Linked DNA regions of Elephas maximus indicus. The protein of the gene in region 1 interacts with the protein of each later gene in a biochemical or structural test. Links are inferred from orthologs where the notes say so. Each region holds a gene or a part of one and is shown in the gene's direction. Other genes may lie near its edges.

Evidence for each region.
Region 2: the proteins of DLG1 (region 1) and RALBP1 interact in a test that uses a peptide from one of them, tested with the Homo sapiens proteins (2 studies listed by IntAct, with this or other methods). The link is inferred for Elephas maximus indicus from reciprocal best matches to the Homo sapiens genes DLG1 and RALBP1.
Region 3: the proteins of DLG1 (region 1) and CRHR1 form a complex in vitro, tested with the Homo sapiens proteins (3 studies listed by BioGRID and IntAct, with this or other methods). The link is inferred for Elephas maximus indicus from reciprocal best matches to the Homo sapiens genes DLG1 and CRHR1.
Region 4: the proteins of DLG1 (region 1) and ARHGEF16 interact in a test that uses a peptide from one of them, tested with the Homo sapiens proteins (2 studies listed by IntAct, with this or other methods). The link is inferred for Elephas maximus indicus from reciprocal best matches to the Homo sapiens genes DLG1 and ARHGEF16.

Annotation. Positions count from the first base shown.
Region 1 is NC_064819.1:18,851,802-18,858,832, reverse strand, and holds the start of DLG1 (disks large homolog 1), read left to right. Parts: upstream 1-4,023; 5' UTR 4,024-4,197; intron 4,198-4,857; exon of another isoform or gene 4,858-4,947; intron 4,948-5,410; 5' UTR 5,411-5,441; coding exon 5,442-5,460; intron 5,461-6,130; coding exon 6,131-6,262; intron 6,263-7,031. UniProt on the Homo sapiens protein: Essential multidomain scaffolding protein required for normal development. Recruits channels, receptors and signaling molecules to discrete plasma membrane domains in polarized cells.
Region 2 is NC_064829.1:13,772,948-13,780,041, reverse strand, and holds the start of RALBP1 (ralA-binding protein 1), read left to right. Parts: upstream 1-4,081; 5' UTR 4,082-4,320; intron 4,321-7,094. UniProt on the Homo sapiens protein: Multifunctional protein that functions as a downstream effector of RALA and RALB. As a GTPase-activating protein/GAP can inactivate CDC42 and RAC1 by stimulating their GTPase activity.
Region 3 is NC_064837.1:52,544,663-52,551,863, forward strand, and holds the start of CRHR1 (corticotropin-releasing factor receptor 1), read left to right. Parts: upstream 1-4,190; 5' UTR 4,191-4,230; coding exon 4,231-4,263; intron 4,264-7,201.
Region 4 is NC_064821.1:42,076,838-42,084,026, forward strand, and holds the start of ARHGEF16 (rho guanine nucleotide exchange factor 16), read left to right. Parts: upstream 1-4,179; 5' UTR 4,180-4,327; exon of another isoform or gene 4,328-4,618; intron 4,619-5,174; exon of another isoform or gene 5,175-6,219; intron 6,220-6,675; exon of another isoform or gene 6,676-7,189. UniProt on the Homo sapiens protein: Guanyl-nucleotide exchange factor of the RHOG GTPase stimulating the exchange of RHOG-associated GDP for GTP. May play a role in chemotactic cell migration by mediating the activation of RAC1 by EPHA2.

The DNA of each region.
Region 1 (7,031 bases):
TCTCTCCAGTGTTCAAGGCATTCAAATATATTTATATAATAAATATGCAAAAGACCAATGCATTATTTATGCTTTACTTTATCTGAAATCTTTCTCAGCACCCCCTCCCTTTCTCTCTCTCTCTCACACACAGTTTTTTGTCTTTTTTAAAGAAAGGAGGCAAGTAGAAAAAAAGCAATGTAGCCTAATGGAAAAAACCAGTGAAGTAACATTCAGTCCTAGATCCATTACCAGCTAGTTGTGGTGTCCTAGACTAGGTTATTTATTTCCTTCTTCCTCAGTGTTTTCCTCTGCAAAGGGAGAGATAATAAGCAATAAGTTTATCTCATAGATTGCTGTGAGAATGAAGTAAGTTAAATCTGCCCTTCGAACAATGAATGAAGAGCTATACTGTTGTAAGGGTATTATTATGTGTTTAAATGGGAGGTAGTTATTTGTCCTACTCCCACTTAGGAACCCATTACACCACAATATAGAAATTTGAGGGTGAGTCCCTCAAGCATGAGTTCAGTAAGTAATTGTCATGGAGATGGACAGTTGTACATACTTAAAAAAAAATTGGTTTCAATTGTATTTTTTATTCTGAAGGTAAGAATTATCTATGCAGAAGGAAGTCAGTCTTCAGTAGAATGAAATCTTGATGTATATAAAGTAATACTAATGCCATGGCAAGGGCTAAAGTTTGAGGGCTTAGAACTGTGGTCTCAGAAGTCACCTAGTTTAACCCTCCGTCTTGTTCATGTACCTAACACCTGAAAAGAAGGCCTTGCTGGGTTCATGCAGCCTCTGCTTGTTGATGTAAAACTCTCCACCACTTGAGGCAGTTCTTTGGATTTTTGGACAGTTTTGACAAGTCATGTTAAGGAAGAACTTCCCGTGTCCCTGTAACTTTCATCCTTGGTTTTAGGTTTGCCCCGTGTAAACATAAAATTAGCCAGTTTGAAGATTGAAATCAAGTTTCCCAGAGCCTACTCTTTTCCCAATGAATGGCCCTAGCTTCTATAAGGGTTTCATATCCCTGACTGCCCTGGCTACTCTCTTCTTTCCGGGTGCTGGTTTGTCTAGATTCCTCTTAAAGTGTGCTGCCAGGAAATGTCCCTGAGCCCTAGTGGAGGTCTGACCAGGCCAAGCATGGTCACTTCCACCATTCTCGACATTCCATTCCTCTTCTTGCAGCCTAAGCTACCATAAGCTTTTTTTGACAGCATCAATTCCTTTCCTTTTAGTGATTGTCTTGGCACAGGCAGCAAGCAGCCATTCTCCTGTAGTAAGAGCAAAAGATTCAGTAGAATCTGGCAGGGCCTGGGCACCTTTACAGAGGATAGGTTGGGGTCCTGGAGAGGACAAAGACAGAGACGCGGTGCTAGAAGGGTGGCTTGGGTAGAAGGATGGTTAGGAAGAGAAGGTTTGAAACTGAGAGACAGTATTGTTTGATATTGGATCTCCAACGTCTCAACAGAGGAATGGAAGATTTGAGCCTTTCCTTGAGCTTTTTTGACTCCTAAGCCTTTTCAGGTACTTGAAAGAGAATTAACTTGGGGCTAGAAAGTTGTGCAGAGTTACCAGCCACCATCTTGTTTTAGTAGTAACTTCCTTTTTTCAAACATATATTGTTTTTGAATGCAGAGGTTGGAAAAGCAATCAGATCCTATATGGGGTCCTATTCAATGGCAGCTTCTAACAACATAAAGTAAGGAAGATGTTGAGGAAATGGAAGTTGTTTGAAAAACTCCAAATGTCATTGTTTTGTATGTTGTGATAATGCGGTGGCCAGCTGCCAAGATGGTTCCCAGTGGTATTCATGCCCTTGAGGCTGACCTGGGTAATCAGTAGGATGTTGTGCAAATGACGGAGTGTTACTTTGGAATGTAGGTCATAAACATTGTGGCTTTTGCCTTGCCCTCTTGGATCACTTTCTCTGGGGACATTCAGCCACCATGTCATGAGAACACTCAAGGAGCCCTATGAAGAGGTGTAAGAGGTCTACATGGTGAAAAACTGAGTCTGCCTGTCAACATATGAGTAAGCCATCTTGGAAGAGGGTCCTTTAGCCCCAGCCAAGCCTTCAGATGACTGCAACCTTGGTAGACATTTTGACGACAACCTCACGAGACCCTGAACTAGGACCATCCAGCTAAGCCGCTTCCGAATTCCTTAAGACAGAGTAGATCTGTCTCATAGGGTTTCCAAGGAGTGGCTGGTGGATTCAAACTGCTGACCTTTTGCTCTTAACCATTGCACCAGCAGGGCCCGACCCACAGACTCTGAGATATTGCTTATTGCCATTTAAGTAACTAAGCTACTAAGTTTAAAGCTTTGAAGTAATTTCCTATGCAGCAACAAATAATTAACACGAATGGGTAGAAAGGAGGAACAAGCAGTAAAGGTCCCCCTCCCCAAGCCTAGACTTGAGAATGGAAGAAGCACTAGCTTCATTCCTGCTTTTGGACGCTGCTGACAACTATATAGGACTAGAGGATGACAAGAAAAAAGGGCGATGCCTCTTCTTGTCTCCTCTTCTGTTAGCCCCACCCCCACCCCCTTCGTTTTTTAGAGGAGGACTAGAATGACTTTGAGAGTTAAGACAAATTTTGTCTTTAACTCCTCGGTGACCCCTGGGAAAGGCTACATTGGATTCTATCCATTTGGTCTTAAGCTGTGGGTCCTTGAAAGCAGGGATTGGATCTTATTTATTTTTATCCCCATTGGCTAGCAAGTGAACATATATGAACACTGAACGGTATTTTAAGGGAGAGGGCAAACTTCCCTCCTGAATTCTGAAGAGATTCCATTCTTAGGTTCCACTCCTTATCATTCCATTCACAGTTGATCGCTGAAGCTTGATCAATCGTAACACTCACACCATTAGTTATTTTCACTATTAAAAAACTTCCATCCTTCCATCCTGTTTCCTCCATGCATTGTTGCTTTAACTGTTGCTCAAGCTCCCAAGATGCTTGACCCAGAATAGCATAGCGATTTGCTCCCAATATACCAACACACCTCTGTCATGTTGTCTAAAATCGCACTGGAATGAGCCCTGGACTGGAGCTAGGATACCCTATTTCTGGGTCTGCTCTGTTACTGATTAGCCTGTATGTTCCTGGGCAATTTACCTCATCTCTCTGGACCTCAGTTTCTTTAACTTAAATCGAGAGAGCGGGTCTAGATGAGCTCTGAGGTCGTTAGGTTACAAGTTAGGATTCCGAAGTGCAACCCAGAAGTGAAACCCAGCCAGTGGTCAACCCAGCTCTGGGTAGCTGTTGCGGTTTCAATACGAAGTACCCGTGATGCAGTCTTAATGAAAGGCTGTCAGGTTTGCTAGGAAGAACCTTCCGGTTTTGTAAGACAGGAGCTCCGGGTTTCCAGTTCTGCCACTAATTCCGGGTGACCTTGGGCAAATCCTTTTCTCTGGACCTTAGAGAAGGGAGGTTCTTGTTATCCACAGACTAGAAGACCTGGGCTTTCCACGGTTCCCGTTCAACAATCCGGGTGGCTCTGCCCCAGAGCAGGATCCTGGCCCATTTTCCCTCTTCGAGATTCAGTCGAAACTTAGACCAGCCCTACTGGCTGAGGGCGGCTCAGCCTTGCAGGATTACAGGTGAACTCTTAAAGGGGCCACCAGAGTTTGGGTAATACCTGAGACTGATGGCTGGGCGAAGACGCAGGCGCAGGGGAATGAATGAGTGAGTGAATGAACCAACGAGCCTCCTCACCCTTAAATGCACTTATACTGGGAATTAGTCATTTAAAAAATTCTCTACTACATCTCTCAAAGTCTTACCAAATTACCCAATCTTCCTATTTTACGTGCCCTTCTTTAATTCAAAACTTCCAAACTCTTTATGAGGAGCGAAGAGTAACTTTGCAAAAACCAGTACAAAGTGTTGAGGTGGCACCCCCGCCCTAGCTCTTCTCCTTTTCTCCTCCCAATCCCCGCTGTCCCCGCCCCACACGTGGGTGGTGCGGTCTGCTCCTCCCCAATGCCGCTTCACCCGGCTGGGGACCCACCCCCGGGGGCGCCAGGCACTCTCGGCTGCCTCGGAGTTGGAAACAGCACGTGTTTAGTGAGGTTAAGGGTGTATACGAATGTGTGTGCTGGATCCAGTGTGAGGGAGGTCACGTCTCTTCAGACACCTGGACCCTTGCGGGCTCGGCGCGCTTTTAGCTCAGAACCGCGGGACACCGGTGGGCTAGGTAAAGGCGGGCTCTTCCATGGCTACCCGGGACCACCTGTAGAGTCTGCGTGTCAACTCCTTTGTCCTCGGCGCCACTTCAGTGGCCGCCCCTTTAAGGGAGAAGGATCACTTGGGACGCTCTCCGAGTCCCCCTGCCCGCGCCGCAGCCCCCTCCCGGCCCTGCTCCCCGTTTAACCCGAAGGTAGCAGCGCCGGGAGCCCCGGGCTCGGCGCGAGCCGCCTCCTCACTTCCCATTGGCTGAGAGCGCCGGGAACGCGGTCACGTGGGGGCGCGGCAGTCCAGCTCCGAGGCCGCCATCTTGGCGGAAAGTTTGGGGGGAGAGCGGTTGGGGGCGCGGAAGGAGGCGAGGTTCCGGGGGTGGGGCGGCCGGGAACGGAGAGGGCGAGCGGGCTAGCGGGCTGCGGCGAGCGCGGAGGCTGCGGCGGCGTTCGAGGAGGAGGGAGAGGCAGCGGGGGTGCGGCCGCGGAGGGGAGCTCCTCCCCCGTCCCCTCACCCCTCTCAGCTCAGCTCCTCGAGCCCCGGGCGGGGCGGGGGGACGTGGAGCAGGGCAGGGCGGGGCAGCCGCCCCGAGTCGCTTCGGAGCGCACCCCGCTCGGAGCCCACGCCTCTCGCAGGAACTTTGTGGCGGAGCCGCAGGTGTGGGGGACCGCGGAGGCGTGCATGTGGGGCGCGAGGGCGTCGCGGAGAGCGGCCGCTGTCCTGTCCGGGCCCCGCCGGAGTAGCCCGGAGAGAGCGAGCAAGGAGAAAGGCAAGCGAGAGGAGGGGGCTGGAACAGGGCGGGTGCTCAGCCCGGTGGGTCCCTTCGGGAGCGCTTGGCGGCCGCCGCTGGGCTGGCTCCGGGGCCAAGGGTCGGAGCGCCTCTTGACCCCTCCCCCCGTAGCAGGTGGCGAGGCCGGATACTGGGGCCAGGGTTGGGGAGGTGGCCCCAGGTCTAGGCGTTTAGTGTTCTTGGAGGAGGAGGAAGCTTTCGAGGAGAATTTGCAAGAATGCATTTCTGTGTGCTCTTCATCTGGAAGGGTACCCACCCCGAGGTGAAAGCCTTCTAGATTGATTGACAGCGCTGGGTTTTGAGTCCCTCCCTTTGACTTGGGAAAACTTTGCAAGGTGGGCTGTTCCAGTGGGCCTGGGAGTTTTTCCGATATGGAGTGTGGGGAGAAATGCTAGTTTAACGACGACTGTATTCTTTTTCCTTTGTGTTTGTGGCTTTAAAGGTGTGTGCCCTCTTCCTGATTCTGGAGGAAAATGCCGGTCCGGAAGCAAGGTGAGAATTTGTCTCAGAAGTGTCTCGTGTGGGTGTCACTTAGTTTTCCATGTATCTGTTTTGTGATTGTTACCTTTCAGAATGCTTGTGTAACTTTGATGAAACAGCACGGTCCTAGCTTTACGATTTGGGGAATTTAAGCTTCACTTTATTTCAGAAGAAACCTAAATGTTAAAACTTTTTCCTTGACAGCTCACCAGTTACTAGAGAGTCAGTTAATATTTTCTCCTGAAATCTTTCAACTCTGAATTGGTATTTTAGTGTGTCACTTTATACTTCTTACTATTTTGTGAGCAAATGTGGGATATTAAGTACTAGTATTTTGCAAATACTTAGGATTTGAGTTATAACGACAAATTGCAGCTTTTGCATGTCAGGTAATCTGAAATTATGTTGGTAATACCTTAATCTTTTACTGTGGCTGGCTACCAGCACACATTTATTAGAAATTACTCACCTGCCTCCTTTTTCTACTGTCAAGTAACGTGTTTAAAAAAATTTTTTTTGATCTTCCTGGAGACTGTACGTTTACATGTACCTGGTGACATCAGTTGACCTGGAGGATTTTGGGAATTGCTGAGATGTCTTGCACAATCATTTGTCTGCATAGCTAGTGGGTAATACTTTGTCGTGAATATATAATTTCAATCAGGCCTTTTTCTCCTTTTAGATACCCAGAGAGCGTTGCACCTTTTGGAAGAGTATCGTTCGAAACTAAGCCAAACTGAGGACAGGCAGCTCAGAAGTTCCATAGAGCGGGTTATCAACATATTTCAGAGCAACCTCTTTCAGGCTTTAATAGGTGAGAATAAAACTTTGTGACCGTTATGTGTCTATTAGGCGTAATCTTCCTTTGAATTCTGTTATTTTAAATCAAAGAGAATGAGGTACTTGGCTTTCTATGAGGCATTCATCACCTTGAATGTCTTCAGTGAGTTGTATGTTTTTGATACACCGGTATGTTTTCCGAAAATACCTAATAACCAGAATAATTTCAGCATGATTATACCAGTGGTCTTTGATAACAGTGTTTCATATCTTAGCATTAAGTATTAAAAGTATTAAAAGATGGAAGACATTGCAGAAATGTTTCAGAACTCAGAAGGTCGTTAACTGAATTATTGTTGACTTGGTTCTGTACTTGATATGCCTTTCTCAGGAGCACTGTAGGGTTCTGCTGTGTTCAAGAGCATTCATTGCCTTAACGTAGACCCTGTTTAAACATTGCGTTTGTGGAGTCAGAATTTTAGACTGGACATGATCTCAGAGACGACCTTGATAATAACTTTACAGACAAGAAAATTGAGGTAGAGTTTTATTCTTAAGTGTAGCTTAAGTTTGAAGTGATAACATTGTTTTTAAAAAAGAACCTGTGTTAGCTGTAGAATGCAGTGGTGAAGTAGAACAGTGATTATTAAGGGTCTCCCACCCCTTCATAAGCAGTTAGATAATTTTTAAAAACAAAATCTTATGTTTTGAACACAAGCTCTGATATATAAAGCAAAGTGCTTTGGGCTCCTTCAGATACCTTGAAAAGTTTTCAAACCCACTGAACTAGATTTATCCCTTTC
Region 2 (7,094 bases), on another chromosome or scaffold:
CTGGGGTTCCCTGTTTCCATTGATCCAGTTCCTGTCCCTTCCTGTCTTCTTGTCCTGCTTTTGGACAGGATCTGCCCATTTGGTCTTGTGTATTTGATTGAACTAAGAAGCACACTCCTCACATGTATTAATTTTTGTTTTATAGGCCGGTCTAATCTTTATCTGAAAAGTGAGTTTCAAGAATGGTCTCAGTTCTGGGTTAGCAGAGCATCTGGGGGCCATAGTTTCAGGGGTTTTTCCAATCTCTGCCGCACCAGTGAAGTCTGGTCTTTTTACTTGAATGTGAATTCTGTTCTACATTTTTCTCCTGCTGTCTCTGGGGCTCTCTGTTATGATCCCTGACAAGGGAGTTGTTGGTGGTAAGCCGGTACCATCTAGTTCTTCTGATCTCAGGCTGGTTGAGTCTCTGGTTCATGTGGTCTTTCAGTCCTTTGGGCTAATATTGTTCTTGTGTCTTGGGTTTTCTTCATTCTTCTTCGCTCTGGGTGATTTTTTTTTTTTTTCAATACTTTTAAGTGTAGAAATTCCACTTGTTTCTTTTTTATAAACTATTTTTCTACTAAGATTCTCTATTTAAATATCTTTTCCTTTAATTCCTTGAAACATTTCCTTTTATTTTTAAAATAGCTGTTTTGAAGAGATTGTCTTCTAAATCTAATATTTGGGCCCACTCAAAGTCAATTTCTATTGATTTTTTTTTCCCCTGTAAGCGGGTGACACTTTCCTGTTTCTTTGCATGAATTCCTTTCTTTGTTGAAAATGTAATATTTTGTATATTTCGGCAACTCTAGATGCCATTTTATTTTTCTGAGCGTTTTGTTTTTTGCATCTCACCTAGAATTAAACTGCGGATCTGCCTTTCCAATGGGTTGTGATTCTTGTGTTTCTGCTCGGTTTATTGTTTTTAATATTTATTTTTGGTGTAAACATACACAGCAGATCATATATCCATTCAACAATTTCTACAACGGATAGTTCAATAACATTGGTTACATTTTTCATGTTGTAACACTATTCTTGCTATCTGTCCCCGTGTTTTTTCACTACCATTGACTTACACTCACTGCCCCATAGACCACTCATCTTGCTTTAGAGTTACTGTTGTTAATTTGGTCTGACACAGATCAATTCTTTAATCTTTTTTTTTATTCTGATTTTTATCTTTAACCTGGCTTTCTAGAGGTTACCCCATGTCTGCATGGCTGAGTGATCTGTCAATGAGCTGAGCAAAAGTTGTACTCAAACAACTTGAGCTTGTCTTCCTCCTTCTGTCAATTAATCTATGTGTGGATGGAGGAATGCATTCAAAATTACTACCAGTTCCCAAATCCGCCTTGGCTTTCACTTTTTTTTCAGTGGGTCTCTTGGGTTACTACCACACATGTACAGTTTCCCAGTCATTCAGAGATGTGTGGAGAACAGCGCTTCAATGACTCTTATTTCCAGTATCTCCCAGCTATATTTCTGCCTGGTTTGCCATTTACTCTACCTAGAACTGCAACTTTGGGGTAGCAAAGATATGAGTTTTCCCTGTTCATTTGCAACTGAGTTTGCTACCTTTAACTGGTAAAGCCATTTTTTTTTTTTTTTACCTTCTACCACAAATTGAGTCCATCTCCTCTGGCAGCAAAGCTGCTGGTTTTCTTGGGTAGCCTACTCATGCTGGTAGTATTTGTTCTTCTCAATGGAGCTGAGGCAACAATGGAGGATAGGAGCGGCCTTAGGCAAGTAGGCCATAGACTTCCACTGTTCCTATTTGAAGTTCTATCACTTTTTCTAGATGCCTCTAAAGTTGTCATCTATGTTTAGTTGACTTCCAGTGTTCTAAATGGTTGTTTTTGACAATTTTTTCCAGTTTTATACTTGTTTTGTGTACAGAGGAATTGCTGACCTGTCATGCTGTCGTAACTAAAGTCCCTTCCACAGATTCTTTTTATGTAGGTAGTAACCTATATTAGTCATGATCTTTCAGTGTCATAAGAGAAGTCCAACTCAATTAGTTAGGACTTTCAGAATTCTGAGTACAGAAAACCCAATACAGACTGGCTTGAACAATATAGAAAACTTATGGATCACAATTCACAAAAGGTATGATACTGCAGCTCTAATTATGCCATCAAGAACAAGGTTTTTCTTCATCTCCCCAGCACTCAATTAATAGTATTGATGTCATCCTGAGGCTTTACCGGTGCCTTCCTCCACTGGTGCCCTCCTCCGTAAGCCAGCATACCTCCAGGTTCCCCCCTTATAGGAAGAAAACAGTTACCATATTTCCAGACCTCATATACTCACATCATACCAGAAGTGTGAGGAAGCTGCATTTTACTAGAAGCCCAGTACAAGTTTCTGCAGAGCTCACTGGCCGTCTTTAAAACTCAGAGCTCTGCAGAGCTCACAGTTGCAAGAGGATATGGATATGCTGCATGGCTTAAATAGGTGAAACAAATGCCTGAGAGTCAACCAACAAATATCTTCTATGCCCACAAAAACTGGCCCTAAATAACGACAAATAAATGAATATACTGGCTCACCCAGCTAGACTCACATGCTCACAACCACTTAAGGATCAGCCTCTGAGACTGAAACTACAGTCATTATGCGGCCAGCTCTGCTTTCTCTCCTCTTCATTTCTCCTTTCTTTTCTGTTTCCGTCCTTTGGCCTCTTTTATTCTTACTGCAGACAGGCCTCTTTATGTTGCAGGGCATATGGCCATGAGCAAAACCTCAGCAGAACGCTTTTTTTTTCCCGTTCTCTGTCCATATAGCAATTTCAGGCAAGGGCTCCATAATGCCCAGCTTGGGTCAGTGCCTATCCTTTGGCCCAATGCATGTTGCCAAAGGCAAAGAGTATTATTGCAATTGGCACCATTGCATGCCCATCCCAGTGGTTAGAACAGATTGTTCTATTGCCAGAAGGGGCAATGAGAAAGCTTTTACACAGTCAGAAAAACAATGGCTACCCCATACCGTCTCAGTTCTAATTGTGGGAGACCTTTTGCTTGCCAGCCAGCACTTAACTACTGTGCCACCAGGCCTGAACTTTACTGGGTAGGAAATGCAGAGCGCAGGAGACAAATTTATCAGATTTTAGAAAAACTGCAGGATGGATTGCAGCGGTCATGTGGGGATGGAAGTGATTGTGAAGGACTATCTACCCCAAATCCTCTCTCTTCCCTAATAAACAGCCAAATTTTATAAAACAAGAACACTTCCAACAAACCAACCAACCCGGGTTTCCAGCCTTCAAGGAGCATCAGCAGAACAATTCTTTAAGCCTTGGAAGGACTTTCCTTAGCCCTCACTTCTGGAGTAATCCAGTTACTTCCACTCTTCCTCATGATTCAGTTGTTTGCGCGCTGAACATGTGTCTGGGCATTTCTAACTCAAGTATTGCTTTGTAAATGTGCCAAAGAGGGTGGTAGAAGACAGCAATTCCGCAGCCGGCCAAGAACCAAGGGCTGATCCTGTCAACACTCATTTCAGGAATTCCGCGGACGGTCCTTCCGTGGAAGTTTTACACCAGCCTTTTTTCCCCCACTGGCCCTCGCCGCTTCCTTTTTCCAAGGCCCTCAAGCAAGAGTTCCCACCGCAATAAAAGGTTCCGCACCCAGTCGGAAGCCAGGAAGACGCCCCACCCAGCGGCAGGCTGGGCCGGCCTCCCAGGCTCGTCTAACTGGTTAGGACGACTAAAGCAAGCCGGCACAAGATTGGAGCTTCGGTAGCTGAGGACACAGGCTGGTCAGAGCGTGGAGAGGAAAGCTATTTCCTTTCTCAAGACCATCACAAGAGCTGTCCCAAACGATCTTGGCTAATACGTTTATGGGGTAGGTGTTCGTCCCACCCAGTCCCCCAAGACCAGAACTGCGCAGGCGCCTGCACAATCCTAGCGCGGCGCGCACTCTCGCGCGCTCCCTCTGTCCCCGGAGCGAGCGCCTGGGCCGGAGGAAGCGCGGAGCTTCCTGGGTGTTGTAGTGTGCTCCTTCTACGAGCGGCCCCGTGAAGGCCCAGAGTGGGGCGTACGAGAACTACTTCTCCCGGCGTGCCTCGCGCGAGGGCACGGGGCGTTTGCCCTTGACGGCCTAAGCAGTCAGTCTACGGGCGACAGGAACCCGGGAAGCTGGCAGCGGCGGGAGGACTGAATGCGCGTGCGCATTGAGCCGGCTCGTCCTGTTTCGTCCCAGTCATTGTAAACAGGCGGAGGCTGGGCGGGGTGGGAATGGGGCTCCTGAGGCCGACCGGGGGCGCCGCGCAGGAGGCGGCTACGGTGGCTGCGACGGCAGCGTGAGCGCGGGGAGGCGGCGGCTGCGGCAGCAGGCACAGGTCAGTCGCGTGGAGTGGTGGTGTGCCGGATCGCCACGATGCCCCTCGCCTGCCCGAGGACCCGTCTCCGGCGCCGGCCTCGCACCGAGTCTGTCAGGCAGCGTGCTGGGCTCGGCGCTCGCCGCACTCCGTTTTGGAGTTGGGGGTTGGGGGGCGTGGCTGCCCTAATATTGATTCATACTGGGCAAGGTTCGTCCCCATTTCTTGCTGGCTTGGTAACCGTCCCCCCAACTTGCGGGGCGGGCCTACCCTAACGGCATCTGCATTTGTGATTTGGTGCTCCCGGGGTCTGTAGAAGAGTTAGGAACCAAGGACCCCCCTGATTCTCCAGGCCCCAGGAGAGCTCTTTAAGGCACACCTGAACGGAGGAGAGAGGACTCAGCCTTTTATATTATCATTAGTTTTTAGTCTTTTCCGAAATATTGACCTGTCTCCAGTGCATGCTGAGGGGACTAGAAAAAGGTTCTTAGTTTTTCCCAGCGCTGGCATTGAAGCACTGGGGGTCCGTTGGGGACTTTGGTCCTTAGTTTGGGTTTTACTGGGAAAGGACTGGCAGCTCTAGCGTTGAGGATGCTTTTCACAACTGTTCTTCAAATATGTTTTTCAAATATGCTTGTGCCAAAATGCTCTTAATTGAGGTCAGCTTTTTTTTTTTTTTTTTTTTATCCTGTAGTCTTGCGAGCGAAACAGGTTTTATAAAATATTGCACACCTCAGGCTTACCTGAGGTAATTAAGCTGTTTCAAGCTTTGGGATTCACTACTGCAGAGTAGCCCTCTTGAGCAAGCAGCATGTGTCCTCTAAGGCCTAGTAGAGTTCTTGAATATTGTTAAATTTCCAGTTGGAGTTATTTTGAAGGTATGTAAAAGAAGTACTGCAGTAGGTGCATTGACTTCAGTACCGATAAGAAAAGCTTTCACTAAACTTTTTGTTCAGTGGAGTGGGCGTGTTCTAATGGTGCAATACTTTGGATTGCATTCCATCATACTCGAGCAGTTATTCGCAAAGTATTTAAGTGGCGATAAGGAATAGGCCAGAGTACCTGGGTTGCACAAATGGTTAAGTGCTCAACTGCTACCTGGAAGGTTAGCACTTCAAACCCACCCAAAGGCGCCTCTGAAGACAGGCCTGGTGATCTGCTTCTGAAAGGTCACAGCCTTGAAAACCCTGTGGAGCACAGCTCCACTCTGCACACGTGCAGTCACCATGAGTCGTCATTGACTCCACAGCAGCTACCAACAAGGAATGGTTTGGTGCTCCCCATGGCAGCACATCTGAATGAGTGGGACTGCGAATGGGAAAGGTCACTTCACATTCTCCTTTTAGAATTATCAGGGCGACTTGATAATTCCTTTCTGAGTACCTGCCTGAACAGGAGTAATTAATGTGAGCTATAATAGTATTGGCAGTAGTAGGGGTAGGGAGGAAGTCAGTAGTGTAGTTCCCACTTTTCAGAGTGACCCACAGATCCAAGTCAGATAGGCTTTAGCAGTAGCTGTTGGAAAGTAATTCCTTAAATAATGTGTCTTGAAACAAAGTAACATTATAATTTAATTTGCTATCTCATCAACATGCTGTTTCTCATTATAGATCTTGCAGGGGCCATATCTCTTCTAATTTAGGAAGGTAGATGCGGCATCAGAAATGCACGTTAATTTGTACAGTTGTGTTTGTACAGTTGTTTGTTTAGCGAGGAGAGATTGGGTCCAGAATATAACCTGAAAATATGTTTTCTTTTTTGAAAGAAAATGCCTGGTAGAAGCTTGTGTTAGTATATGCAAGAGGGGACAAGGCGAAATGCACATCATTAGTATAAAGAGGAATTATGTAGCAGGTACTTTGCCAGATGAAGAGTTCTTCAAGATGGATAAGGCAGTGTCCCTGCCTTCAGAGTGATAAGACTCTCTTACTTGAACTGTCAACAAATGTAATACATTTTAAAGATTACATTGATTAGAAAAAGTATAGGGGTCCAGTGGGTGTAAAAGGAAGTAGTGATCAATTTCTGAAAGGCAGAGAAAGGGATTGAGGAAGGAGGGGGTGGTAAGGAAAAACTAGATCTAGTGGGTGATGAAAACAAGTGTAAACCAAAAAAACCAAACCCGTTGCCGTCGAGTCGATTCCGACTCGTAGAGACCCTATAGAACAGAGTAGTACTGCCGCAGAGAGTTTCCACGGAGTGCCTGGTGGATTCAAACTGCCGACCTTTTGGTTAGCAGCCACAGCACTTAACCACTATGTCGCTAGGGTATGTAGGCATAAAAAAGATGGACAATTTGGTGGATGGAACAGTGAGCAAAAGCATGGGAGTCTAAAATTACATGGGGAGTTGTAGGATCTGCAAGTAGTTTGTATAGTTGGCTAGAGTACAGGGTGGTGGCAAGACATGAAACTGGGGAGGTAGGCAGAGACCAGACTATGGATGGTCTCGTATGCCATTGAAGTAATTGCAACTTTATCTTGTAGGCACACAGGAGTCATTGAGAAAGGACAAAGAAGGGACACCTAAACCAGCTGAATCCATTTTTAACTCCCTGCTGAGTCCCTGGGTGGTACAAAGGGTACAAAGTATTCTGCTGCTAACTGAAAGATTCACGGTTTGAATCTACCCAGAGGTACCTCAGAAGAAGGACCTGGCAATCTATTTTGGAAATGTCATAGCCATTGAAAACCCTATGGAGCACAGTTCTACTCTGAAACACATGGGTTGCCATGAATTGGAATTGACTGGACATCAACTGATTTGGTTTTGTTCATGTGTCAGGCACTGTATTA
Region 3 (7,201 bases), on another chromosome or scaffold:
TAATTTCCACATTCTGTTGGATCACCTTTGTTTGGAATGGGTACAGATACATATCTTTTATAGTCAGCTGACAAAGTAGCTATCTTCCAAATTTCTCGGCACAAATGAAAGAGCACATCCAGCGCTGCATCCATTTGTTGAAATATCTCAATTGGTATTCCATGAGTTCCTGGAGCCTTGTTTTTCGGCAATGTCTTCAGTGCAGCTTGGACTTCTTCCTTCAATACCATCGGCTCTTGATCATATATGCTACCTCCTGAAATGGTTGAACATCGACCAATTCTTTTTGGTACAGTGACTCTGTGTATTCCTTCTGTCTTTTTTTTATGCTTCCTTTGTCATTCAATATTTTCCCCATAGAATCCTTCAATACTGCAACTCAAGTCTTGGATTTTTTCTTCAGTTCTTTCAGCTTGATAAATGCCAAGCATAGTCATCCCTTCTGGTTTTCTATCACTAGGTCTTGGCACATTTCATTATAATACTTTGTCTTCTCTAATCACATTTAGAAAACATTCTGTTCAGCTCATTTACTTCATCATTTCTTCCACGTTCTACATTCAAGAGCAAATCTCAGAGTCTCTTCTGGCAACCATTTTGGTCTTTTCTTTCTTTCCTGTCTTTTTAATGACCTTATGCTTTCTTTATGTATGATGTCCTTGATGTCATTCTACAACTCCTCTGGTCTTCGGTCATTAGTGTTCAGAGCATCAAATCTATTCTTGAGATGTTTCTAAATCCATGTGGGATATACTTAAAATCATACTTTGGCTCTTGCAGACTGGTTTTAATTTTTTTTCTTTAGCTTCAACTTGAACTTGCATATGAACAATTGATGGTCTGTTCCAGAGTCGGCCCCTGGTCTTGTTCTGACTGATGATATTGAGCTTCTCCATCATCTTTTTTAAATCAGTTTGATTCCTGTGTATTCCAACCAGCAAGGTCCATGTGCATAGGCACTGTTGACCTTGTCAAAAAAAGGTATTTACAATGAATAAGTCTTTGCTCTTGCAAATTCTATCATGCAATTTCCAGCATTGTTTTTATCACCAAGACCATATTTTCCAACTACTGATCCTTCTTTGCTTCCAACTTTTGCATTCCAATCACCAGTAATTATCAATGTGTCTCGACTGAATATTTGATCAATTTCAGACTGCAGAAGTTGGTAAAAATCTTCAATTTCTTCATCTTTGGCTTTAGTGGTTGGTGTATAAATTTGAATAATATTTGGATTAACTGGTCTTGCTTGTAGACATATGGATATTACCCTATCACTGACAGCGTTGTACTTCAGGATAGATCTTGAAATACTCTTTTTGACTATGAATGTGACACCAGTCCCCTTCAATTTGTCATTCCCAGCATAGTAGATCATATGATTTTTCAATTCAAAATGACCAATACCTGTCCATTTCAGCTCACTAATGTCTAGGATATTGATGCTTATGTGTTCCATTTCATTTTTGATGACTTCCAATTTCCTAGATTCATACTTTGGACATTCCACAATTATTAATGGATATTTGCAGCTGTTTCTTCTCATTTTGAGTCATGCCACATCAGCAAATGAAGTTTCCAAAAGCTTTACTCCATCCACATCATTAGGGTCGACTCCACTTTGAAGAGGCAGCTCTTCCCCAGTCGTCTTTTGAGTGCCTTCCAACCTGAGGGGCTCATCTTCCGGCACTATATCAGATATATTCCACTGCTATTCGTAAGGTTTTCACTGGTTAATTTTTTTTAGAAGTAGAACGCCAGGTCCTTCTTCCTAGTCCGTCAGTCTGGAAGCTCTGCTGAAACCTGTCCACCGTAGGTGACCCTGCTGGTATTTGAAATACTGGTGGCATAGCTTCCAGCATCACAGCAACACACAAACCACCACAGTATGACAAAAGACAGACGAGTGATGATGGTGATGCTAACCCTCATTAAGTACCAGGTAATGTTCCAAGCCCTTTGCAAATATTAACTCATTTAATCCAATCAACAACTCTACCAGGTAGGTATTCCTTTCCTCCATCTTACAGACAAGAAAAGTGAGGGACAGTTACATGATTTTCCAGTTTTATACAGCTTGAAAGCAAAGAATCAAGACTCAAACCCAGGCTGTCTGACTCCAGAATCAGCACTACACTAGACTCCTCTAAAGTTACTTTTTGTTGAGACCAACATTGGCAATCTGGTTGTTACATCCATCCCTGTCTTCTGGGAATGGCCAGGGTGAGTCAGCTTCTGGCTCAGCATGACCAGCTCTGGGGCACTAATTAGTGGGAATTTTGTGAGGCTCTGGACTGTGGCTTCACCTAGAAAGTGCCACCCTGTGTGGCTCAGCCAATATAACCGGCTTGCTTCCTGGGCAATGAATGGCCCTCCCCACTTCAGTATCCTAAACCACGTCAAAGGCCAACCCTCCCGGCACTTAGAATCTGGGTGCTCCTGGGTGGTAAGCAACATGGGAGAAGGCAGCAGAACATGCTGGGAAAGTCAGTGAACTGGGAATCAGGAGGCTGAGCCCTAGGCTCACCAGCTATGGTACTTTAGACAAGTCCCCATCCCTTTGTGTGCCTCAGTTTCCCATGTGTTGGATCACATGGACTCTTACAGTAAGTCCAGTTCCAAATGAAGAGTCGATTGAACCCGTGAATGTGCTGGTTCTTGCCCAATGTGCTGAGAAGTGGATGGAAGGGGGTGAGCAACAGAGCACAGAACCCAGGGCAGCCAGGTTCAGAGTTTGATTTCAAAGCCAGCTCATGGCCTTTATGGGACAATGCTCTGCCCACAGTGTTTCTGCTACCTACAGAGGGGCTGCCATCCGCGGCATTTGGGGCGAAGGCTCTGCGGGGTGGAGTGAAGGTTTCTCTCCCTCAGGTGACTCCTTCTCAGTTCTGGCAGAAGGAGAAGGGGGGAGGAGGAAGTCAAAAGTGCTGTCCATCTGGAAGGGCTGTAGGGAAAAACTTAAGGAAATGGAGAAAGAGAGAGCTGCATCCCAGAGCTGGCGATAGGATGGCGAGCTGCGGGGTAAACCCAAATGAAGACTCCAAGGTCTGGCGGAGCCGCTCACCCCTACCCTGCGAGCTCGGCCTAGAGGGGGCGCTGCGGCCTCCTCCACGCCGTGCGCGCGAGGTTCCAGCTGTGTTCCCAGCGCTGTAGCGCAATGCGCGCACAGCTTTTCCTCTTTTTTCTTTTCTTAGCTGCAGGCTAGCCCTGAAGGGCACTGACGTCTCCCCCTTCATTTTGGGGTCCCCAGGCCCAGCCCTTTCCCAGGCAAAACTGAGCAGGCACCTAGCTTGTAAAATGAATAAATGAAAATAGATGAATGAATGAATGGGAAGGGCTCTCTAGCCGAGCTTTCGCGTCTCAGCGCGCACCGGGCGTGTCAGTATCAAAGGCTCTGGGGGTCGGGCCCTGGCGTCAGGCGCTGGCTGGAGTGGGGGCGGCGGGGACCCTCTCCTTGCCAGCGCAAGCGAGAACTGCCCAAACGCAGTTCCCAGCTTCACCCCATCTCCGCGGCGGCTCGACTCTGCTGGGCCGTCCGATTCTCCAGCTTCCAATAGCCTCACTCTCATAGACCCTTCGGAGCCCCCTAACCCTTCCCAAATTCCGTTGGACTTCCCGGGCCCGATTTCAGATAAGACGGGCGGCGGGAGGCTGCTACTTCCCCCGCCCCCCATCCTCGGCTTCTCCCTGGGCTGCGGTGGCCGCCACCGCCGCCAGCGCGTCCCGCGGACTGCCGCAAACCCGGGCCCAGGGAAAGGGGTCAGCGAGGGAGGGCGCGAGGAGGAGGCCGAGGGAAGGCAGTGGACAGAGGTGGAGGGAGGGGGCGGGAACGGAGGGGCGAGGCGCGGAGGAGGGACCAAGAGGAAGGGAGGGGACAGAGAGGGGAGGGGAAGCGCGAGGCTGGGGGCGGGGAGCCAGGCGAGAAGCCGCGCGGACCGAGGGGGAGGCGGCAGGGGCGAGGCGCGCTCGGAGCTGGCGATAAGCTGCTGCAGACTGGGGCTGAGTCGGGGAACCGCCGCGGGACTTCCCCGCGAAGGACCCAGCCAGAGCCCGCCAGGCCGGGCCGAGCTGCGGGGCCGAGGAGTGCGGCGACAAGCACCTCCGCGCGGGGCAGCGACCTGGGAGCCCCGCCGCCCACTCTGCGCCACCCTAGCTAGCAACCGCCCGCCGGCCCCTCTGTGATGTTCGAGGGACCTAGGCATCCAGGACCGTGACTGAGCGAGCCCGAGGATGGGACGGCGCCCGCAGCTCCTGCTTGTCAAGGTAGGAGCGCGCAGGGCAGCCCTCGAGCCTGGCGCCCCCGGCCGCCGGCTGGCGCGGGGCGGCTGGCAGGGGTGGATGCGGGGAGCGCGGGGCAGAGAGGTGCCCGGGTCCGGGGCAGCGGAGGTCTGAGGAGCAACCGAACTCCCGGGACCGGAGCCGGGGCTGGGTGGGTGGGGGAGCTCAGGTGAAAAAAGAAACCGTGTGGCGACACTGCCGGGATGCTGGCGGAGGAGGTTGCCCGCCCACCGGCGGGAATGGCTGGGTGCGGAGACTCGCTCCAAGCTGTGGGGGCTGAAGCTCGTTTCTACGTCCCATCCCGCCCATGCGGAGCGCGGCCATGGGATAGGAGGCTCTGGAGGTGGGTCCCCACCCTGTTCCTAGCACCCTTTTATCGGCTCCCCTACTCTGCACGCCCCAGCCTCCAGTCCTGGGACCTCCTCCCTGCCCCTTCGGCTCTGCGGAAAGCGGCAAACCCAAGGAGATTAATGTCCCTCGCGCCTCCGCCGAGCCCTTGATGGATATCGCAGCCTCCGGGGAGGGGACGGTGTCTCCAATGGTGGGGCGAGCTCCTCCGCCGCTGCTGGCCGGCCGGGAGCGGCAACCCGGGAGCGCAGCGCTTGTTCTCCGAGCCTTTGCACCGGCAGGTCCCGGCGCTGCTCCGCCGGCCGCGTCTGCTCGTTCCTGCCCCGGGCCTGGCGACGCGATTTCGGGCCCCGGAGTTTAGGAAAGTGGCCAGGTCGCACGCCTAGCGTCTGCCGGCTGAAGTTCCGGGGCGGCGGAGCCCTGCCCGCGGGCGGTGGGAGCCGACGATGGGCTGGGGGACAGACAGGCCCGCCACTAGTGACAGCCGCCGCTTCCCCGCGCGGGGCGCTTCCCAAAGCGTTTCGGCTCCCTGGGTGCAGGCACGTCTGCAGCAGCGGGCTGGAGAATGGGTGGGCCTCGGGCCATCGCCGGGGAGCCCAGCGCTGCGCTCGCCAGCTCACCGCGTTGCCGCGGATCTCGGGACTCCGCAGGGTCGGTGTGGACCCTCTGAGCCGCCAACACCAGTTAACCAGGCTTGGTGCATTTAAAAGCGATTTCATTCAAAAGAATGGAATGGATTTGGGGGAGGGGTGCGGATTGATTGAATTTTATTTTTCCATCCGTTATTAAACCAACTGTGCGTATACCGGCTCACAAAGTGGTTTCATTGAGTTAAACCACCAAGCTTTTAAAACAAATTGCTGTGGCTCAGCAGCTGAGACGTTCCCAGTTATTAAGGGTTTTCCTTTCCTCTTCCCAGCCCAAATATTTTATCAGTGGTTGTTTAAAAAAAATGACACAAGGTTGGTCAGATGGAACCCATACCTTCCCTCCCCCCCGCCTTTAGCTGAGGGCTGGGGTGAACCCAGGGAATATTTTCTGCGTGATCACCCAGACCTGGCAAGACAGGTAGAAAGAAAAATACCAGAGAGGATGAATGGATGGCATTCGATGGGAACATTTTCCAAAAAGCTCCTGTGTACCAAACCTTGGTCTAAATTCACAAATCAGACTGAATTCAATCTTTTACATGGATTCAAGGGATGGAACAAAAGCCAGTGGTTTTGTTTTGTGACCCCCCCCCCCCCCGCCCCAAGTTTACTTGGTAATAGGTAAATGTTCTTTCTCTGGCTTTTCTTAGAACTGTATTCAAATCTCTATTTATAATTATCAGGTTGTACTTCTTTCTTTTTTTATTTTTTTACCAGATAACGGGGTCTGTGCCCTTTGTGTCTGGTCTAATGAACTCAGTAGGTGCTCAATCAATGCTGACCCAATGCAGGGCAGTGAGTGAATGGAGGGTTAATGCTGGCTTCAATTCAATACTTGCTTGGTTTTTTTTTTCTTTTATTTATGTAGCATGTGCAAGTTGCAGGACAACGTTCTACCTGCATTGCAAATATTATCATTTTATCCGCATAACAGCCCTAGGAGGTAGGGAGTAAAACCCCATTTTTATAGAGGAAGAAACTGAAGTAAAGAGAGGCTAAGTAACCTCTCCGAAGCCACACAGCTAGTAATTGATGGAGTCAGAACTCAAACTCCAGCCCTAAGACTTTGTTTTGTTAGCTTTTGCCAGAAAACATTCTAAACCACTTCTGTCTCACTTTAGACCTGCACCAGATGAGAGCTCAGTTTGCTTTGTGAGTGTGAATCTAGGGAAGTTATGGAAAATCCAGAATCCGGCTCTGTCCCCAACAAAGTCTGGCTCTGTCGGCCAGTTTTGGGAAAGGATCCACTCTGGGCCTAGCTCCTTACCGGAGTCCCTGGAGGCTCGCATCCACCCGAACGTGTTTTGGAAGAAAGACCTGGTGACCTTCCTCCTAAAAATCAGCCGTCGAAAACCCAATGGAGACCAGGTCTACTCTGACACACATGGGAACGACCCAGTAGCACCTGTTTTTTTTAAAAAACACTGTACCGGTTACAGTGTACTGCGGGAGAGTGTGTGTGAGCGTGTACGCATGAGTGACAGTGTGCGTGTGTGTGAGTGTACCTGAGTGAAAGATGTGTGAGTGGGAGTGTGTATGGGAAGAGCTGCGTATGAGTGTGTACTGAGGGTACATGTGTGTGAATGCGGGAGCAAGAAGTGCTGTGAATGTGCATGAGTGCATATGTGTGCGTGAAGAAGAGGTGTGTGTGTGTTGGAGTGTGCTTGATGAGAAAGAGCTGAGAGAGATGAGTGTCAGTGAGGGGGAAGAGAGAGGTGAGATATTTTCTCGACCCCCAGGGGAGGGTTGGGGTCATCTACCCACCAGCTGCAGCTCCCCACAGGGAGACCCAAGTATGGCTCAAAATTGTGGTTCCAGTGATTGTGAGGGGCAGAGAAGGCACAGCTATGTGGGTTAGGGAGCGTGAATTCTGAGGGAACTGGTTGCATTGCTTTTGTTATTGTAGAAGCCATCTCACAGCGTTA
Region 4 (7,189 bases), on another chromosome or scaffold:
TCACAGAGAGTTCTTGTAAGAATTTAATAAGACGGTGCCTGTAAAACACCTAGCACCAGGCCTGGCACACAGTAGGCGCTTCATAGAAGGTGACAACTCTCTTGTCAAGTTCCCATTTGCTGCTTTGGGGCTGCCAGAGGAGCAGCCACTTGCTTCCTGAGCCGAGCCGCCTGCTTAGCAAAACCATCCTGGTGGGCCAGTGAAACGGCTTGGCCCGCTTACCCCCCACACCCCCTCACCCGCCTGCTGGCCCCACCCCTCCGTGGGTCTTCCAGTAGCCAGCTCAGACAGAGCAGCCTCTGTCCACAGGCCCCCTGGCAGCTCTGTATCATCAAAGGTCAACGGGAGCCCTTTCCCAGCCGCCTGCAGGCAGGGCAGAGGCAGCCCTGCAGGGAAGGACAGGCCAGCCCAATGCCAAGGCCTGAAAAGAAAGGCGTGGGTGTTCGGCCCTTTCCTTCCGCCCCCCACATTCCTGGGGCAAGTGCCATGCCCCCAGGGAAGGCCGGGTGGGCAGGCTGGCACTGCCACCCGGTCCTGGCCTAGAGAACATGTCCCACAGCCTCAGCCTCCTGGGGGTGCTGGCCTGAAGGTTCTATCTCTTTGGGTCATGCCCAGACACGACCCAAAGTAGGCCAAGCACAAGTCTGGGTGACTTAAAGCAGGCCTCACAGGTGCACAGGACCCCTCAACCACAGCAAAGGGGCCAGCTCCTCCTGCAGACAGCAAGCGGTGACATCCTTACAGCAAATCTCCAATAGCCGTCAGGGTTGGGGGTCCAGACTCTTCCCCCTGCCAGGGACCCTGTGGGTGGTCCCCTCACTTAGTGAGTGCCTGGGCAGGAGCCATCTCTTACCTTCCAAGACAAGCATCAGGAGCTTGCTCTGTCCCCAGAACCACAGGGGGGTAGGGGCTGGGAGCGCAGTGCTCTAACAGTGGGGTCATCTCCAGGACTCTGGGGGATGAGAGGAAAGAGGAGATGACCCCAAGTGGCCCAGACGTTTGAAACTACAGGCCACATGGCAGGCCAGCTCCCAGGGCTGCTTTACATTCCCTGAGGCTGACACTCTTACCAGGCTGGTGGGGAGGCCAGGAAGGGCAGGACAGGCTTGGCCTTAGTGGTACCATGTCCAGGCCCCTCTTCCACTACCACAGCTGCTCCTCTTCCTCCTGTGTGCTGGGCCATAGAGGTACAGGCCTGGCATAGCCACAGGGGTCAGAGCCTGCCCGCCTTTTCTAGGAGCTTCAGAAGTCGGAAACCCTGGTGGCGTAGTGGTTATGTGCTACAGCTGCTAACCAAAAGGTCGGCAGTTCGAATCTACCAGGTGCTCCTTGGCAACTCTATGGAGCAGTTCTATTCTGTCCTACAGGGCTGCTATGAGTCAGAATCAACTCGACGGCAGTGGGTTTGGTTTTTTGGTTTACCCAGAAGTCAGTCCAGGAGCCAAGAGGCTCCGGGTCCCAGATCACCATCCACGGACCAGCCCTTCTTCGCCCCTCACTCCACACTGGGGACCGACATGGCCAGCCTGTGCCCTTGCTCAGGTGGCCCCTGCACACAGGAGAGCACCTCCGGGCTCCCTAGCAGCCCCGGCCCCTCTGCTTGGCAAACACTGGGGACAGGGAGGAGGGAAGTTGCTGGGCAGGGACTGAGCAGGCCAGGCTGCAGGTTTGCTGGGCAGCACCACCGTCCAAACCAGGACACCAAGAAAATGCCAAGGCAGGGCCTGGAGCCTGAGGAGCTGTCCTCACCCAGCAGAGGGCAGCAAGCTCACGTGGCTACCAGGCCCTGGGGAGGCGGCACTGGGATGAGGTCCGGTCTACTCCTGGGCTGCCAGTGCCCAAATGGAGTATCCAAATGGAAACTTTGGCAATGGCCTTTCCTGAAAAGTGGGCCATGGAGATGGAGTCAGGAGTGGAGCTGGCACTTCTTCAGCTGAGGTCTAGAATCTTGGGTCACATCTGTGAGGCACCAGGCACTTGCTGAGCACCTTTTGTATGCAGGGCCCTGGACTTGGTACTATGGGATGGATATACATCATAGTCTCGGCAAGAAGAGGCTGCCTTAACAGAGGTAATAGCATCTAGAAAAGAAGAGGTGAGCGTTGTTTCTCTTCTTCTCATCCTAGGCTTTGAGCTCTGTTCTGGTGACCACTTTTTAAATAGGATTTGGGCAGAATGAAGCGTCTTGGGGAAAGGTGGAGTGCCTGCAATGACGAACAATACAGAATTTATGTAATATGAAGAATTACAGAAAGACAGTAGCAAGGAACAATGAAATAGTATGTCTTGGGAAGTGGTAAGCTCCCCGTCCTGGAAGTGTTCAAGCAGAGGCAGGATAGCATCAGCTTCAACACACTCAGGCTTGGTCTGGGTTAGGGAGTCAGGGTGTCTGTCTCAGCCATCTTCATCCCGCTCTTTCCCTGGCAGCCAGAGGGGCCTTTCCACCACATCTGATCATGGTGCCTCCTTGGGTTGCTCCTGCCACTGGGAGGGGCTGCCCCCTTGCTAAACCATGACTTCCTCCCTGCTCTTGAAATGAAGACAGACTTCCCACCCCCCTTCCCCAGCCACAAGGGGTCCAGCCTGTCCCCACTCTCATACCACCCTGCTCCCAGGCTCTCTCTGCTCCCAGCCCCACAGGCTCCTTCCCACCTCAGGGCCTTCACATGTGCCATGCCCCTGCCTAGAATACTTTTCTGTCGCCTCTCATCAAGCTGACTCCTGATCTTCCTCTAGGTCTCAAGTTTTGTGGCCCTTTTCTGGGGCAGTGGCACTAATCCACGTCCAGACCAGCTTTCACTCTTGGACCAGCCTTGGGTGAAGGGCCAGGAGAGAGGAATCATCAGTCAGGGTCTGCAGATGCTGCTGCATAACAAGCAAGCCTGACATCTCAGGGCTTACAGCAGGGGAGGTGGCTGAGCACCCTGATTCTCAGGGGTTTGGCAGGCTGCTTGCTCTTCCATAATGTGATATAATGCAATCACCTCCATGATGAGACCTGATACAATGTAATCACCTCCATGCTGAGATCTGATGCAATGTAATTACCTCCATGATGACATCTACTATGAGCAGCCAATCAGTTGAAAGCAGAGTTTCCTTGAGGGTGTGGCCTGTCTCCAGTATATAAACAGATGATCCGGCAAGGCCCAATTCTTGCTCTGGATCCTGCATCTGACTCGTGGTCATCTGACCTCCGGTTCTTGGGATGTGAGCCAGCAACCTGCCCCCTGACCTGCTGATTTTGGGTTCATCAGCCCCTGCAACCACGAGAGTCAGGAGAAGCCTCCATGGATTTGGGTCTTTCCAGGCTCCACAACTGCCTTTTTTTGAGCCCTTCTTGGGGGCTGGAGCAGATTTCGCTGGATCAAGCATTTCTGCTTGAAAAGAGCTGGAGCAGCTCTGGAGGGGAAGCATGCAGAAGGTGGGCCGTTTTCTGTAGCCACCAAAAACACAAATCCCGTTGCTGACACATGGTGACCCTATGTGACAGAGTAGAACTGCCTCTATAGGGTTTTCTTGGCCATTCTACTCTGAAAACCTATGGTGGTAGTTCTACTCTGTCACATGGTGTCACTAGGATTTGGAATCTACTCCCGAGCACCTAACAGCACAACAATCTTTATGGAAGCAGATCGCCAAGCCTTTCTTCCATGGCACTACTGGGTGGGTTCCAACTGACAAACTTTAGGTTAGTTGTTGTTGGGTGCGGTCATTGTTAGGTTAGTACACTACCCGAGTAAACAGTTTGCTCCAGTCAGGGACGCCTTTCGGCAGCTGCAGAAATAGCCCACCTTCTGAATGCTTTCCCCCCAGAGCTGCTTCAGCTCTTTTCACTCAGAAATGCCTGATGCAGCAAAATCTGCTCCAGCCCCCAAGAAGGGCTCAAAAAAAGGCGGTTGTGGAGGCTGGCAAGTAGGGAATCCGTGGGTCAGGCGCCAGCTTCTTGCAAACACCAGGTTGCCTGAACACAGCACTGAGTGAGTTGCCACTGACTCCGGTGGTCTCCTTCCCCGAGGGCTTCCTGGAGGAGGTGGAGGGCCGGAAGGACAGTGGGAGTTGATTCAGGGACACGATCTTGGAAGCCCAGGCACTCCGGTCCCAACGCCGGGACGCCCCTCCTCCTCCCTCGGCTCCCCCCACCCCCGTCCCGCCCCGCCCCTCGCGGCCCTGGGCGGAGGGGACCGGTCGCGAGCCGCGCTGAGCTCCCAGGAGCGGCGCAGCCAGCGGACTCCGGCCCATTCCGGAGGGGCGAGCCGGACCAGGCTGCGCGTCACGTGGGTGCGGGCCGGCCCAGGAGCAGACGGTGACGCAGGCGACCAGCTAGGTGAGGCGCGGTAGCAGCAGGTGCCCGGGCTCGCTCCGTCCCGTCCCTCTCGCTCGTCGGTAGCGCGCGCCCGCCCTCCGACGGGGCCCCAGACCCGCAGCCGCCGGGCCGCGTCCTGCAGCCCGCACGGGAGCCCACCTGGGCCGGGCTGGAGCTCGCCGCCGCCCCTGCCGCCGGGCTGGCTGCACAGGAAGTGGGGGAGGGCGGGGACCGGGAGGGACCGAGCGCCGCAGGGAGTACAGAACGCCGAGCCTGGGGATTGGACCGGCCGCCCGACCGCCCGCGGCGCAGGTAAGCCTGGGGGTAGGGGCAGCTAAGCCTGGGGGGTGCGCCTTCCCTTCCTTTGGCTTTTCCCGCAAGCCCTGCCCCGTGTCTCTGACAATTCTGTGCCCTCGCCCCAACCCCTCTCCCTGCGGGAGGGAATAGAGCACCCTCCCATCCTGGCCTCGGATGTCCCACTGCCTGCCCCTTGCCCTCCCTTGAGCCCTTCCCACCGACCTTCCGGCCCTCCCTTGAACCCCCAGGGGGACACATCCTGGCCCTAAAGAATTTTCTGCCTCCAGGTAGCTCGGTCTTGACATCAGAGCTGAGGGACTCTTAGGAAGCCCAGGGAGTTTGAAGGCGGGGTCAGGAAAGTGGACAGAATGACCTGCCCAGGAACTCTTCCCAGGATGGGCTTCCAAACCTCCTTTAGCCCTGAGAGTTCAGAGCAGCCCAAGAAGGAACCCTCCTCGGTGTGTGTGGGGGGTGGGGGTGGTGGGGGCTGGTGGAGGAGCCCTGTCAGCTCTGTGCCTCCAGCTAAGAGGGGAAGCCTGGCAGCTTCTGCTAATGAAAGCTACGGGGGCCACATACTGGGTCTTAGCAGCCCCAGCCTCAGTTTTTGCATCTGTAGAACAGAAGCAGGGATTCCTTTGAGGATTTGAGCAAGTGCTGGGCTAAGTAGGTAGTAGTGAAGACAAGTGGGTGGTGGCCTCCCCATCAGGCCTGGGCAGGGACCGACCCTTCCCTGTATCCCCAAGGTGAACCCCCTGTGCACCACTTAGCGAGGGGCTCAGGGGTCATTGTTGGGCCACCCCAGGCCAGTGATGCATGGCACCTGCAGGTCCTGGCTGAGGCTAGCAGGAGGATCCCTACCCTGCGCCCTGCGTACAATGCCACCACCCACCCGGCAGCCTAGTATATCCAGGCCAGCTGGGCTCACATTCTGGCTTTGTGTGAACTAAGGCAAATTATTGGACCACTCTGTGCCTCAGTTTCCTCACCTGTAAAATGGGAGTAATAGGAGAGCCCAGGCAGAGATTGTTCAGTCAGTCAGCTACTGCTGCTGAGCTCCTGTTCCGGCTCAGCCATACCCTTAATGATGCCGCAGTCCCAGAGAAAACAAGAATCTCAGTTATAGGGTCAGCTCTGCGCATGATCCGGGCTGACAGAAGGAGCATCTCCACAGTCCAGGTAGGAGCTGGGTGTCTCGGAAGACTTCCCACCCTAAGCTGATGTCACTGAGGATGAGACTGAGTGAGCCTGGCAGGGGTCTCCCTCATTGCTTCCTGCCTGGACACCCATGGGGAGCTTGGCTCTTGGAGTTTCAGTTTTGGTTTCTGGGTCGACCTCGGTGCTTGTCTTCTTAGCTGTGGCATGGTGCTTGGGTGATCAATGCTGTGCATCACAGCATCTCTATCTGTAGTGACCCTGTGGATGAGTCCAGAACCCTCGCTTGCCCGATTTGCTTGTGTGCAGCCTCCTGTTTGGGGTGTGTCTGGGTCCTCACCTGACTCCATGCTGACCAGCAGAGTGGCCCCGGGCAGGTCACATTCCCTATGCATCTGGTTTCCTCACCTTTCAGAAAGAGAAATGACCCATTTTCCAGAAGTTCAATGAGGGACTACACATAGGTGAGCAAGCGTTTGGAGGACAAAGCCTGTGTGTGCCTTTCAGAGCCAGGGAGCGGGGGAAGTGTCACCTGTGGGGGTACGTGTCAGGGTACCTGTCAGGGTTCTGATTTCCACCGTGTGCTTCCTGGGGAACACGCTATGTGCGCAAGCTGGCCCTGGGTGTCTGGAGTCCAGCCGATGGTGCAAGGGGGGCCTACGGTTATAGGAACGTTCAGATTCAGAGCTGGGAGCTAGGGAGTGATGGGTGGCCTTGGGGGGGAGGGCAGGCCCTGACCTGTTGAGCTGGGGGGGTTGTTTTTTATCTGGTAACTACTGGTGCCTAGAGCGTCATTGTAAAGAGGTATGTGGGACACTTCTGCTGGGGTGGGAGGGCTGTGGCTGGGGTGGGAGGGCTGTGTTTGAGGTGGGCAGGCCCAGGTGGGTCTCCATCCCTCGCCTTTCTCCGTGAAGGTGAGCCTCCAGTTAGCCTTGACCTGGACACTGTTGATATTTTGTTCTGGTCATTCTGTGTCGTAGGGGCTATCCTGTACATTGCAGGCTGTTTGGCAGCTTCCCTGGCCTCTGCCCACTAGATGCCTGTAGGACCCCTCCCCTAGTTTTGGCCGAAAAAATGTCTCCAGACACTGCTAAGTGTCTTCTGGGAGCAAAATTGCCCCCGTTGAGAGCACTCAATGGAGCTAAGCCCCTGGCCACCTTGTGAATGGGGCTGTTTTCTGTGTTGGTGTGTTTTACACAGCCCAAATCCTGCCCCAAACTGTGTGTGCATCCCAGTCCCAAGCTTGGCCAGGCAGAATTACCCAAGGACAAAGGTATCATTGTGGGTCGAGTTTGTGTTAGCAGAGGCCGAGTCCAGATGGGTGCCAGAAAGGTCAGGTGGGATCAGCTGGACCTGGAACCCTGGACTCTCCTGATTGGTGAGCAGTAAGGGACAGAGGTGCTCCAAGAGTAGGGTTGCTTGGAAGCTGGTGGC